Linked DNA regions of Anolis sagrei. The protein of the gene in region 1 binds, or shares a complex with, the protein of each later gene. Links are inferred from orthologs where the notes say so. Each region holds a gene or a part of one and is shown on either strand. Other genes may lie near its edges.

Region 1 (7,798 bases):
TTTTAATAATGCTGCATCTGAATGTCAAGTTCCTTCACGATTTGGAATGAATTTTCCAATTAACTTGTGATTGCTTAGCAAGGTTTTTCTAGAGTTTAACCCAACTGACTAGATTCCTCAGATTACAATGAGATTAGAAATACAATTTAGTGAATTAGATTGCTAGAATTTGTTTAGTGGGTAATCTTGTCACACTCAACAAAAGATCTGCAGCTTCAGGAGAAGAAACATCAGAACTGGAGGAAATGCATACCATGACTTTGTTGTTAGGGAGGCTAATCTATGTATCTCTTTGGAAACACAGTAGAGAGGGAAGAGATTTTTTTCTGAAGGCCAAGTCATAGAAGAAAACAATTGAAAAAAAGAGGAGTGTCATGGAAATGGGGATTGGGATGGGATGGAGAGGGTAGTTTCTTTGTTTAGTTCCATAAGTAGCAAGGATCCTTTCAGAATGCCCAACTCATCCATCTATATAAATAAAAATGTAATGTTCGGGTTGACACTAAATTGACACTAAATTTGGACACAAGACACCTATCAGGCCAACGAATGACCATCACCCATAAACATACTGAAAAACACAGAGGAAATGACTTAAAAAGCAAAAAAAAAAATACACACAAAGCACATATACACAGACTGGGCCACAGCAACGTGTGGCAGGGTACGGCTAGTCTATATAAATAAAAATTTAATGTTCGTTTGTGGGATTAGCATAACTCAAAAACCACTGGATGAATTGCCGCCAAATTTGGCCACAAGATACCTACTAACCTAAGGAGTGACCATCACTCAAAAAAATTTGATTTTGTCATTTGGGAGTTTAGTTACTGGGATTTATAGTTAAATTACAATCAACGAGCATTCTGGACTTCACCAATGATAGAATTGAACCAAACGTGGCATACAGGACTCTAATGACTAACAGAAAACACTAGAAGGGTTTGGTGGGCATTGACCTTGAGTTTGGGAGTTGTAGTTTGCCTACATCCAGAGAGCACTGTGGACTCAAACAATGATGGATCAGGACCAAACTTGGCACGAATATTCCAAATGCCCAAATATGAACACAGATGGAGTTTGGGGGAAATAGACCTTGACATTTGGGAGTTGCAGTTGTTGGGATTTATAGTTCACCGACAATCAAAGAGCATTCTGAACCTCACAAATGACAAAATTGGGGCAAACTTCCCACACAGAACCCCCATGACCAACAGAAAATGCTTAAAGCCATCCAGTCCAACTCCCTTCACCAGGGCAAGAAAACGTAATCAAAGCCCTCCTGTCAAAGAGCCACCCAGCCTTAGATATAGATGATTCACAGACAGAGAGAGATATAGTATCATAGATTTGAAAGGGACCCCTAAAGAAGAACAATTATATGTTGCTTGTTCCAGAGTGGGCAAACCAGGCAATCTCCACATCAACACTGACAAAGAAACAGCAAGAAATACTGTTTACCCACAAGCATAAAGACATTATATATATTAGAAATCAACACTTTCTCATTACTTTATTTTCCAGATCAACAGACGGGGTCACAGCAACGTGTGGCAGGGGATGGCTAGTCAGTTCATATGGAAGGGAAATGTTTGCAGTCTTTTAGAAGAGTGATGTGTACTGGTATTTTTAAGTAACTCCCAGTTTAATAATTGTCTTGTATGAAGTTATTTGGGGTGAGCTGCAGTTAATCTCTTTGATTTCTCCTCATCTCTATTACTGTTCTGTTCCTCCACATTCAACAACCTGCTAACAAGAGAGAAGGGAAGTTAGGGAAGCTAGGGCAGTTGCCACTCTTACTCAGTTAAAACAGCTGCATACCCTTTTGGGATGGGAACGATAGTTCAAAATGAGTTTTCCGTGAAATGTCATGTTCCTTTTAAAAGAAGTATGGTATATAGCCCACATTCTCTTTGACATTTGGAGATGCATATGCTTCTTTGCTAACAAATTATTATTGAAATGAGGATTTTTTTCTCAATGACTCATACTGGATCCGATATACATTATATTGTTTCAGAGGGACTTACTCTGAGTGGAGAAGATTCTGATCTTGCATTACAATCTCACAATCATGTATTCGAGAATAAGTCCCAGTGTACTCAATGAGGTTTACTACAAAATAAAAATGCAAAGGACTACACTGTTAATGTGCTTTTCCTTTGATGTGTCCAGACCCTGCCATATGACAGCCAATAAATAGAGTGGATAAGGAAAAAGGGAAACAGGGAAATGGATACTTTAGAACAGGAGACCTCAACCATTAATTCTCCAGCTGTTTTCTACTTCAATTCCCAGATGCCTCCACCAACATGGCCCATGAGTACAGCTTCTGGAAGATGAAGTCCAAAACATCTTGAGGATGAAAGGTTGAGAGGCATTGGTTTAAAGAGATTAGAATTGGAATCCTTCAGGTTGGGCTAATAAGATCACTGTAATGCAGTGGAAACTGCAATTTCACTGTGGATTGAGCTTAAAGGTATGTTACACAGGTACAGCTTAATGTAGATACAGCTTAATGGTATAACATTAGAAAACGTTGACCATTTCCGGTACCTTGGCAGCCATCTCTCCACCAAAGTCAACATCGACACCAAAATACAACACCGCCTGAGCTCTGCGAGTGCAGCATTTTTCCGAATGAAGCAAAGAGTGTTTGAGGACCGGGACATCCGTAGGGATACCAAGGAGCTTGTTTATAAAGCTATTGTCCTCCCAACCCTGCTATATGCCTGCAAAACATGGACTATCTACAGACGTCACATGCAACGCATGGAACGATTCCATCAGTGCTACCTCCATAAAATCCTGCAAATCTCTTGGGAAGACGTCAGCGTGCTGGAAGAAGCAAAGACCACCAGCACTGAAGCGATGGTACTCCGCCATCAACTCCGCTGGACCGGCCACGTTGTCCAGATGCCCGACCACTGTCTCCCAAAGCAGTTGCTCTACTCCGAACTCAAGAACGAAAAACAGAATGTTGGTGGACAGGAAAAGAGATTTAAAGATGGGCTCAAAGCCAACCTTAAAAACTCTGACATAGAGTTTATGGCCCTTGAGCACTCCAGCTGGAGGTCAGCTGTGACCAGCAGTGCTGCAAAATTTGAAGAGGCACGAATGGAGGGCGAAAGAGAGAAATGTGCCAAGTGGAAGGCGCGTCAAGCCAATCCCAACCGGGACCACCTTCCACCTGGAAACCAATGCCCTCACTGCAGGAGAAGATGCAGATCAAGAATAGGGCTCCACAGTCACCTACGGACCCACCAGAATACTGATCCTGGAGGACTATCCTATCCGGCCAACGAGGGATCGCCTAAATATGTTACATTGGTGGCATGTAAGATTATAAAAGAAAAAGACATCACTCTACCTGTACTGGAGGCAATGTATTCACATCTGATAAGGGGGAATTATGGGGTGGGGTTTCAGGACAAGCTGAGGGCCTGAACTTCTTCAAGCAACAAGAATAACTGGATCTTCGGCTCACTCTTGTTTGACAAAATTGGTATGCCAAATTTCTTTTGACTAGAAGCTGGTCACTTAGAGTGCTTCTGGTGTCGCCGTATGAAGGCCCTCCATTGTGCATGTCACAGGACTCTGGTTGCATTGTAGTAGGTGGTCTGTTGTTTGCTCTTTGGTAGAAGAGTAGAAGTTCAAAAGGAAACCTATACTCGCTACAGAATAAAACGCTTTGCAGAGTATACTGACCAACAAAGACTAGCTGATCCATCTCTCGAGAACATTGTTGGTGAACCACTTACCTCAAAAATTGAGCCCTTCTTTTGATAGTAAAGATAAAGGTAGTCCCCTGACATTAAGTCCAGACATGTCTGACTCTGGGGTGTGGGGCTCATCTCCATTTCTAAGCCGAAGAGCCAGCGTTGTCCGTAGACACCTTCAAGGTCATGTGGCCAGCATGACTGCATGGAGCGCCGTTACCTTCCCGCCGGAGCGGTACCTATTGATCTATTCACATTTGCATGTTTTCTAACTGCTAGGTTGGCAGAAGCTAGGGCTGACAGCGGAAGCTCACGCCGCTCCCAGGAATCGAACCTGCGACCTTTCGATCAACAAGCTCAGCAGCTCAGTGCTTTAACCCACTGCGCCACCAGGGGCTCCTCTTCTTTTGATAGATGAGCCTTTTTCAATAAATGAACCCAACCGCCTGACAAAGGCTCTTGTGAGTCAAAACTGGTTGCAGGTTGGTGTCGATTTGTGTGTAACGAAGGGAATAGGACACCTATTGTGACTACTGGAGTCTACTCGTGTGCAATAAATAGGACATTTATGGTCATTCAAGGACTATTCTTACTCACATATTTTGTTTCATACTTGAAGAGAAGAACCAATTGTTTCTGCTTAATGTGAATGTGGCAGCTCTGTGTTTTGTTGATATGTGTATTTGTGATATATACATTGAGTTAATTTAGATACTTTTGCATTACCACAATCAGTGGATTTTGGTCTCCACAGTTTTAAGGGAACCCATTTTTCATTTCAGTAAAAGTCCAAAAGGCCCAGAGGGCCGAAGTTTGCTCGTGCCTGCTCTGTACCTATCATCTATCTGGCTGGAGTTACACTTTTAAATGTACCTGTTCCGACTTACAAACAAATTCAACTTTAGAACAACCCTACAGAACCTGTCTTGATTAACAAAAAGTCTTATAAGCCAGGCATGGGCGAGCTTGGGCCCTCCAGGTATTTTGGACTTCAACTCCCACAATTCCTAACAGCCGGTAGGCTGTTAGGAATTGTGGGAGTTGAAGTCCAAAATACCTGGAGGGCCCAAGCCTGGCTTAGGAGAGGTCACGAAATGACTCCTAGCCTAGGCAGGCGAGGGCACGCGAGGAGGCGGCTGAGGGTGAGCTAGGCCTCTTTCCTCCCTCCGTCTTTCCCTTCCTACCTGCTGGAAGCGCCCCTCGCAGTAGGCCCGGGCCTGGGCGACGTGGAAGGCCTCGTCCATGTAGGGCGCGCGCTGCTGGCGGCTGAGGGCCGAGAAGAGCAAGCAGGAGGCCAGGAAGGCGCCGCTGAAGGCCGCCGAGAAGCAGTAGGCCTCCGAGCGCTCCATCCTCCAGCCGCAGAGGAAAGAGGCCCGCGCTTCTCTTCTCTCCTGCGCTCTGTGGCGGAAGGTGGAGCCCGACGCCGCTCGGCTCCCCACCCCTTCCTTCCCGCCCTCCCTCCCAGGCCTGTAGAATCGGGGCCCAAGAAGGCCTTCACCCCCCTCCCCTCAATATAGGCTGCTTTCCTGGAGAGAGAGACATCTAAACGCGGTAGGTTGGAGACTGCCCAGGCTCTGGGATCCTGGGAGTTGTAGTTTGGGGAGGCGCCTGCCCTCTTTGGCCCTCTTCCTTTCACACAGCTGTATCAAATCCACGTTGAGCTGGGTTATATGGCAGCGTGGAATCAGATAACCCAGTCAAAGCAGATATTTTTGATTATATATTATAACATTGTAATATAATAATATGCATTGTCGAAGGCTTTCATGGCCGGAATCCATGGGTTGTTGTAGGTTTTTCCGGGCTATATGGCCATGTTCTGGAGGCAATTTTTTTTCTCCTGACGTTTCGCCTGCATCTATGGCAAGCATCCTCAGAGGTAGTGAGGTCTGTTGGAAGTAGGAAAAATGGGTTTATATATCTGTGGAATGACCAGGGTGAGGCAAAGGACTTTTGTCTGCTGGGCCTAGATGTGAATGTTTCAGCTGATCACCTTGATTTGCATTCAATGGCTTGGAAGCGCCTGGGGGGAATCTTTTGTTGAGAGTGATTTCATGTGCCTGTTTGTTTCCCCTCTGTTGTTTTGCTGCTGTAATTTTTGAGTTTTTTAATACTGGTAGCCAGATTTTGTTCATTTTCATGGTTTCTTCCTTTCTGTTGAAATTGTCCACATGCTTGTGGATTTCAATGGCTTCTCTGTGTAGTCTGACATGGTGGTTGTGAGAGTGGTCCAGCACTTCTGTGTTCTCAAATAATATGCTGTGTCCAGGTTGGTTCATCAGGTGCTCTGCTATGGCTGATTTCTCTGGTTGGAGTAGTTTGCAGTGCCTTTCACGTTCCTTGATGCGTGTCTGGGCAATGCTGCGTTTGGTGGTCCCTATGTTGACTTGTCCACAGCTGCATGGTACACGGTAGACTCCTGCAGAGGTGAGTGGATCCCTCTTGTCCTTTGCTGAACGTAGCATTTGTTGGATTTTCTTGGTGGGTTCTTTAAGTGGTTTGTATGTTGTGTTTCCTCATCAGTTTCCCTATGCGGTCAGTGGTTCCCTTGATGTATGGCAAAAACACTTTTCCTCTGGATCTTCATCTTTACTCTCGTGGTTTGTTCTCGGTTTTGCAGCTCTTCTGATGTCTGAGGTGGAGTATCCATTGGCCTGTAGAGCCCAGTTAATCTGTGCTACTCCGCTGCTGAGTATGCATGCCCAGTGTGGAACACATCTCACCACACTAAAACAGTGGATGTGGCTCTTAATGAGACATGCCGATTTATCACGGGGTGTCTGCGCCCTGCACCACTGGAGAAATTACACTGCCTAGCCAGTATCGCACCACCTAACATCCGCCGGGAAGTTGCAGCCAATAGTGAAAGGACCAAGGCAGAGACATCCCGTTTGGGTATCAGCCAGCACGTCAACGACTTAAATCCAGACATAGTTTTCTAAGATCTACAGAGACACTCGCTGGAACGCCTCAGCAAGCAAGAGTCCAAAAGTGGCAGGCTCAAATCCAGAACCTCAACCAATGGCTGATACCAAATGAGAGACTCCCCCCTGGGCACACAGAGGACTGGGCGACTTGGAAGGCACTGAACAGACTGCGCTCTGGCACCACGAGATGCAGAGCCAACCTTCAGAAATGGGGCTACAAAGTGGAATCCTCGACATGCGAGTGCGGAGAGGAGCAAACCACAGACCACCTGCTGCAATGCAACCTGAGCCCCGCCACATGCACAATGGAGGACCTTCTTGCAGCAACACCAGAAGCACTCCAAGTAGCCAGATACTGGTCAAAGGACATTTAATCAACTACCAAACTCACACATTTTGTATTTTCTCTGTTTGTTTGCTTTGTTCTGTTAGAAATGTAATATAATTGACTGGCTGCCCTGACACAAAAAATAAAATCCCACAAACGAACATTACATTTTTATTTATATAGATATTTACATAGTGGTCCTTCTAAAACACAGACATGTGCTTTTCATCTTAAGAACAGACAAGTATCTCAAGCTTTGAGGATTACCTGGGAAGAAATTCCACTGGAGCATTGCAGCACACCAAAATACCTGGGAGTTATCCTGGACTATGCTCTGATTTACAAGAAGCACTGCTTGATTATCTAGCAAAAAGTGGGTGCTAGAAATAATATCACATGACAGCTGACTGGCACAACCTGGGGATCACAACTAGATATAGTGAAGACATCTGCCCTTGGGCTTTGCTACCTTGCTGCTGAGTAGGCATGCCCAGTGTGGAATACATCACACCACATTAAAACAGTGAATGTGGCTCCTAATGAGACATGTTGTATTATCACAGGATGTCTACGCCCTACACTACTGGACAAATTATACTATTTAGCTGGTATTGTACCACCTGACATCTGCCGGGAAGTAGTACAGGGACAGGAATTGAGATGAAATCTTCTGAACGGGAGCACAGACAGCAAAACAAACTCCACAGGGGTGTTAACCATTACCTATGCCACCCAAAGATCAAAATTATATATTCTTGGCTGGAGTTACACTTAAAAATGTACCTGTTCTGACTTACATACAAATCAAACTTAAAAACAAACCT
Region 2 (7,171 bases), on another chromosome or scaffold:
AGAACTAATCGTAAGGGAGAACTCATAGAGAGAGAGGAAATTAAGCCAATCTTCATGTGTGTTTGTGTGTGTGTGTGTGTGTGTGTGTGGGATGGGGGGGGGGCGGGGGACTCCTGGGACAAGAACATTGGAGGAGCACTAGCATAAAATTATGTGGCTATTCTTCGAAAGCGCGACGGCAGACAAACTTTAATTGTTTGTCACAATTAAAGTTGGCACACAAACTTTAATTGTGCAAAGGCCCTCCTAGCCTCTGCAGATACCTGCTTCCAGGTTCAGCACTGAGTACAGTAGGGTCCTCAAACTGCGGACCTATTTCTTCAGGGGGAGTGTAACCCCATGCAGCACAGGTTGGATCCCTATTCCTGGTCTGCCTTCCAACTGACCAGGAGTACCTCTGTCTTGTCTAGATTAAGTTTCAATTTGTTTGTCCTCATCCAGTCCATTACTAATAACAGGCACTGGTTTAGGGTCAGGACAGCTTCCTTCCCTTTAGGTGGAAAGGAGTAGTAGAGTTGGGTGTCATAGGCATACAGCTGGTACCATACTCCAAAAGTCCTGATTACTTCTCCCATTAACTTCATGTATATGTTGAATAGCATGAGGAACAACCCTGAGCCTGAGAAACCCCAAAGGTCAACGGCCAGGAGTCCACCAGCACCACTTTCTGGGTATGGCCCTCCAGGAAGGACGGAGCCACTGTAAAACAGTGCCTCCAATTCCCATACTAGCAAGACGAACCAGAAGGATACTATGGTCAATGGTATCAAAAGCCAATGAGATCTCCAGTAGGGATTTCCCCCCCCCCCAAAAGGTGCCAAATCTATCTGAACAAATTGCACAGGAACCAAAAAGAATGTGTTGAGGATGGGCTTTCTTTTGCTATAAAATGCAATTTTCCAAGCCGGTACTGAAGTGTTTTGGTACATTTTGATAATTTTGATATTGGCTGCTGATACGTGACACCTGTATGAGGGAAAGGAAGGGAGGAAGAAGTGAGAGAGAAGGGGTCAAAATTGGGGGAAAGGTACCTGTGAATTCATAATTTTGTTATTATCCCTCAATTTTAGTAACATCTTTATTATTTTAATGTGAATGTTTTAGTATTTAAACATTTAACACCATTTTAATTACCTTATTTAATATTGGGTTTTAAACTCTGTTTTAACATTGTTTCCTGATATCCGGATGTGTGTGTAACCTGATGCTTGTATACTTCTGTACTTGTGCTTGTACATGTGTGCGTACTCTGACACTTACACACCCTGTCACTTGTACTTTTTTTATGCTGGTCATTGACCGTAATAAATGTTTATATATTTTTTTAAAAATGTGAATGTTGATTTTATTTTTTGTGAGACTTGGGTCGTTTTGGTTATTTACTTCTTTGTCCAGCACCTTGCAGCATTTAATGTTTGCCTGTGATGGTTGCGGGACCGCGAGCAGGGCCTCCCCATTAGATCATCACCTCCGCTATGGTTCATTGGGGGAGATGCGTTCGGACAGGTGCTATGCTGTCGCACGCTGGGCCTGTGCATAAGACAGTAGACAGGACATAAATTCTGTGTGCCCAATAGGACGCCGGGGCTGCCTCAGATTAAAGGCCTTTGGATTTCCTTAAACAGAGTCTCTAGAGTACTTAAAGGTTCAACAAAGTTCTTTATTTATGAAAACAAACAGGTATTTCAAGGCTTTCTTAACAGTCTATAGCAGGGGTCCTCAAACTAAGGCCCGGGGGCTGGATGCGGCCCTCCAAGGTCATTTACCCGGCCCTCACTCAGGGTCAATCTAAGTCTGAAACTACTTGAAAGCACATAACAATCCTATCTCATCAGCCAAAAGCAGGCCCACATTTCCCATTGAAATACTAATAAGTTTATATTTGTTAACATTGTTCCTCATTTTAATTATTGTATTGATTTTAAGTGTTTTTTGCACTGCACATATCTTACTATACATATCTGCACATATCTTACTAAAATAAGATATGTGCAGCGTGCATAGGAATTCATTCATGTTTTTTTTTTCCAAATTGTAATCCAGCCCTCCAACAGTTTGAGGGACTGTGACCTGGCCCTCTGTTTAAAAAGTTTGTGGACCCCTAGTCTATAGGCTCTTTCAATCTTGTCCACAGGGAACAGGCACTATCTTCATGACTGGTATTTTAACTAATGGGGAAATCCTTAACTTCTAATCTGGGCAATCTGTCTTTACCTCTGTTGGCATGGAGCCCCTACACCTGGTACCAACTGCGTCTGGCTTCTGTGAGTGACCCTTACCAAGCAGAGCTTTGTAGACTTCCAGGGAAAAAAGAGTTCAGGTTTCGGTGATGGCTGGCTGAAGTCCCCCAGCAAAGGAGCTGTAAGGCTGTATGATCCTCGGCCAAGCTGTGGGCTGTATAACCCCAGCCAAGCTGTAGAAGACGAAGCTTTCTACAGGAGCTCTTGGTATTATTATTATTATTAAAGGTAAAGGTAGTCCCCTGACATTAAGTCCAGTCATGTCTGACTCTGGGGTGTGGTGCTCATCTCCATTTCTAAGCCGAAGAGTCAGCGTTGTCCGTAGACACCTCCAAGGTCATGTGGCCGGCATGACTGCATGGAGCGCCGTTACCTTCCCGCCGGAGCGGTACCTATTGATCTACTCACATTTGCATGTTTTCGAACTGCTAGGTTGGCAGAAGCTAGGGCTGACAGCGGAAGCTCACGCCGCTCCCCGGAATCGAACCTGTGACCTTTCGATCAACAAGCTCAGCAGCTCAGTGCTTTAACCCACTGCGCCACGGGGGGCTCCATTATTATTATTATTATTAAACTTTATTTGTACTCTGCTAGCATCTCCCGAAGGACTCGATGCGGCTTACAAAGGCCAAGGCCTCAAACAACAACAGACAATAACAATATAAGACAAGCAAATTAAAAACATAAGCAATAAGAACAACAACATTACACTATGGTATTATGTCCAGCATATGTCCTGAACTCAAACTGGCTCCTATTCCCTCCAAAACCTAAAAAGGGGGCGGGACCAGGGAACCTAACTATAATTGACAGGTGGCTTGCCCTATGATTGCAAACTGTAATAGGAATGCTGCAAAATCCTAAGCCTGGGATTGCAAACAAACATTGAATGCAAAGCAAACAACATTGGAGCTCCTGGTACAGCTGTACCTGCACAGGTGCTGTTATCAAGTTGGTTTGTGGTGGAAAGAGGCTTCAGGGTCCGAGTGCAGCAGTGGAGGTGGAGCAACATGGGGGGTGGAAAAGGAGACAAAAAGGGGGGAATGGTACTGAGGAGACAGAAGGAAAGAAAAGAAAGAGAAAGGAAGATGAGGGGGAAAGGTGTGGGAGGGAAAGCAGGGAAGAAAAGGAGGGGGAAATAGAGGAAAGCACCGCAGACCACACTAACATGGGCGGTTTCCCCCTGCCTGCCCCTGAGAGGCCTCCTCCTCACCTGGGAGTAGCTGCACCTCTCGTGGTCGCTGCCTCCCAGCACGGCGCGCGCCTCCTGCTCGAGCTGCTCGCTCTCGGCCAGCACCTCGGCCAGCGACACCACGGGCTCCTCGCCGCTCCGCTCTTCTCCCTCCTCGGCAGCGGCGGCGCTCTCCTTGGGCCTGTCGTCCCCTTCCTCGCCTTTGCCGGAGTTCGAAGCCGCAGCTGCCGGCGCCTCCTTCTCCATCTTGCTGACAGAAACAATACTAAGACAAGCAGGAAGAGAAGGGGGGAAAAAAAGGCGGGAAAACGCCCCAACCACCGGAAGCGGAAACGAAAGTTGCCGCGACGCTCACGGATCTCAAGAGGGGAGAGACCAAAAAAAAGGAAAAGGGATGTGTCACGTGTCACGCGGGAGCCAATCAAAGCTAGAGGACGGAGGAAAGCTGAGCACTTGGGTGCGGAATCACGTGAGCCGCGAAGGGCCAATCAGGGCCGGGCAGATCTGCGAGAGCCAATCAGAGCCTCTAAAGACGGCGAAATGTTAACTATGCAGACTGTGATGTTGAGATCATAAGAGGGAAAGAAAAGGGAGCAGAATCACGTGAGACCACTGAGCCAATCGGAATCAATCAGAGCTAGAAGGAGGCGAGGCTGGAGAAAACAACGCACAACAGCTAGGGAAGAGACTGGGCGGGGCTCTGACGTCACGCTGGTGGGTGTGGCCAAAGGAGGACGACTTGGGTTTCCTCTCTCCGAGAAAGTTCTGCTTCCGGTTCAAAGCGGTGAGGAGATTGGTTGCCTAGCCACGTCGGGAAGGGCGAGATGGAGCTGCGGGCGGAGCTGACAGGCCGCGGAGGGGAGAAGCGACCGCTGCGGGTCTCTTGCGAGCCTCCGGGGGAGCTGCGGGGCCTCCTCGGGGGCTTGGCACGCCTTCGGGAGCAAGTCAGCGCCCTCCTCGGCCCACTGGTCGAGCAGGAGAGCCGCGCCGGCGGAGAGCCGGGCGCGGGTGCAGGTGAGGGCCCCGCAGGCCTTGGCAGAGGGCCCGCCTATGTGCAGGGAGCATCTACACCAGGCATGGTCAAACCTCGGCCCTCCAGGGGTTTTGGACTCCAACTCCCACAATTCCTATCAGCCTCGGGCCCCTTCCTTTTCCCCCTCAGCCGCTTAAGCGGCTTGACCATATATGCCATCTTTCTTCTTATCTTCTATCTGTTGTTGTTCATTCGTTCAGTCGTCTCCGACTCTTCGTGACCACATGGACCAGTGCACGCCAGAGCTCCCTGTCGGCCGTCACCACCCCCAGCTCCTTCAAAGTCAGTCCAGTCACTTCAAGGATGCCATCCATCCATCTTGCCCTTGGTCGGCCCCTCTTCCTTTTGCCTTCCACTTTCCCCAGCATAATTGTCTTCTCTAGGCTTTGCTGTCTCCTCATGATGTGGCCAAAGTACTTCAACTTTGTCTCTAGTATCTTTCCCTCCAGTGAGCAGTCGGCCTTTATTTCCTGGAGGATGCACTGGTTGGATCTTCTCGCAGTCCAAGGCACTCTCAGCACTTTCCTCCAACACCACAGCTCAAAAGCATCGATCTTCCTTCGCTCAGCCTTCCCTAAGGTCCAGCTCTCACATCCGTAGGTTACTACAGGGAATACCATGGCTTTGACTAGGCGGATCTTTGTTGCCAGTGTGATGTCTCTACTCTTTACTATTTTATCGAGACTGGACATTGCTCTCCTCCCAAGAAGTAAGCGTCTTCTGATTTCCTGGCCACAGTCTGCATCTGCAGTAATCTTTGCAACTAGAAATACAAAGTCTGTCACGGCCTCCACAATTTCTTCCTCTATTTTCCAGTTGTCAATCATTCTTGTTGCCATAATCTTGGTTTTTTTGATGTTTAGCTGCAACCCAGCTTTTGCGCTTTCTTCTTTCACCTTGATTAGAAGGCTCCTCAGCTCCTCCTCGCTTTTGGCCATCAGAGTGGTGTCATCTGCATATCTGAGGTTGTTAATGTTTCTTCCAGCAATTTTCACCCCAGCTTTGCATTCATCAAGCCCCGCACATCGCATGATGTGTTCTGCATACAAGTTAAAAAGGTTGGGTGAGAGTATGCATCCTTGCCGTACGCCTTTCCCAATCTTGAACCAGTCTGTTGTTCCGTGGTCAGTTCTTACTGTTGCTACTTGGTCCTTGTACAGATTCCTCAGGAGAGAGACAAGGTGACTTGGTATGCCCATCCCACCAAGAACTTGCCACAATTTATTATGATCCACACAGTCAAAGGCTTTAGAATAGTCAATGAAGCAGAAGTAGATGTTTTATAGATCTATCTATCTATATAAATAAAAATGTAATGTTCGTTTGTGGGATCAACATAACTCAAAAAACACTGGAGGAATTGACACCAAATTGGGACACAAGACACCTAACAGTCTAACGAGTATCCATCTCTCATAAATCCCCCCCCCCCAAAACAGTGGAAAGGACTTTAAAACCCCAAAAATGCTAAATGATGAAAAACTAAATGACAATACAGAAAAAGGGAAGGAAGGGGAGAAAGAAAATAAGAAAGAAAGAGGGAGGGAAAGAAAGAAGGAAGGAGAAGGAAAAGAAAAGGTGGGGAGAAAGAAAGGAGAGAAGGAAAGAAAATAAGGGAAGGAAGGAGGGAAAGGGAAAGAAAGAGGGAGAGAAGGAAAGACAGAAGGAAGAAAAGAGGTAGAGAAGGAAGAAAGGAGAAGAAAAAAGGGAAAGAAAAGGGGAGGGGAAGGAAGGAAAGAGGGAGAGAAGGAAGGAGAGAAAGAAAGAAAAAAGGGAAGGAAGGAAAGAGCGAGGGAAGGAGAGAAAGAAAGAAGAGAAAGTGGCGGGTACAGCTAGTATATAAATAAAAATGTAATGTTTGTTTGTGGGATTAACATAACTCAAAAACCACTGGACAAATTGCCCAAGGAGTGACCATCACTCAAAAAAATTAATTTTGTCATTTGGGAGTTGTAGTTGCTGGGATTTATAGTTCACTTACAATCAAAGAGCATTCCGAACTCCACCAACAATGGAATTGAACTTGGCACACAGAACTCCTATGACTGACAGAAAATACTGGAAGGGTTTGATGGGCATTGACCTTGAGTTTGGAAGTTGCAGTTCACTTACATCCAGAGAGCGCTGTGGACTCAAACAATGGTGGATCTGGACCAAACTTGGCACAAGCACTCAATATGCCCAATTATGAACACAGATGGAGTTTGGGGGGAATAGACCTTGGCATTTGGGAGTTGTAGTTACTGGGATGTATAGTTCAGTTACAATCAAAGAGCATTCTGAACCCCAGCAACTAGAGAATTGGGCCAAACTTCCCAGACAGAACCCCCATGGCCATTGAGTCCAACTCCCTTCACCAGGGCAAGAAAACGTAATCAAAGCCCTCCTGACAAAGAGCCATCCAGCCATAGATATAGATAGATATATATGAGTAACACACACAAGTATAGTATCATAGATTTGAAAGGGACCTCTAAAGAAGAACAATTATATGTTGCGTGTTCCAGAGTAGGCAAACCAGACAATCTCCATATGAACACTGACAAAGAAACAAAAAATACTGTTTACCCACAAGCATAAAGAAATTACATATATTAGAAACCAACACCTTCTCATTACTTTATTTTCCAGATCACGAGACTGGGCCACAGCAACGCGTGGCAGGGGTTAGCTAGTCTATATAAATAAAAATGTAATGTTTGTTTG

Evidence for each region. The genes of interacting proteins can lie anywhere in the genome.
Region 2: TPRKB (region 1) and GON7 share a complex: the UniProt entries of both Homo sapiens proteins name them as parts of the EKC/KEOPS complex. The link is inferred for Anolis sagrei from reciprocal best matches to the Homo sapiens genes TPRKB and GON7.

What each region holds. Positions count from the first base shown.
Region 1 is NC_090025.1:80,866,138-80,873,935, reverse strand, and holds the start of TPRKB (EKC/KEOPS complex subunit TPRKB), read left to right. Parts: upstream 1-4,782; 5' UTR 4,783-4,813; coding exon 4,814-4,861; intron 4,862-4,903; coding exon of another isoform or gene 4,904-5,068; exon of another isoform or gene 5,069-5,270; intron 5,271-7,798. Other genes in the region: ALG10 (dol-P-Glc:Glc(2)Man(9)GlcNAc(2)-PP-Dol alpha-1,2-glucosyltransferase), read right to left, coding at 4,904-5,068. UniProt on the Homo sapiens protein: Component of the EKC/KEOPS complex that is required for the formation of a threonylcarbamoyl group on adenosine at position 37 (t(6)A37) in tRNAs that read codons beginning with adenine.
Region 2 is NC_090021.1:316,706,498-316,713,668, reverse strand, and holds the start of GON7 (EKC/KEOPS complex subunit GON7), read left to right. Parts: upstream 1-4,161; 5' UTR 4,162-4,256; coding exon 4,257-4,446; intron 4,447-7,171. Other genes in the region: putative E3 ubiquitin-protein ligase UBR7, read right to left, coding at 3,454-3,678. UniProt on the Homo sapiens protein: Component of the EKC/KEOPS complex that is required for the formation of a threonylcarbamoyl group on adenosine at position 37 (t(6)A37) in tRNAs that read codons beginning with adenine.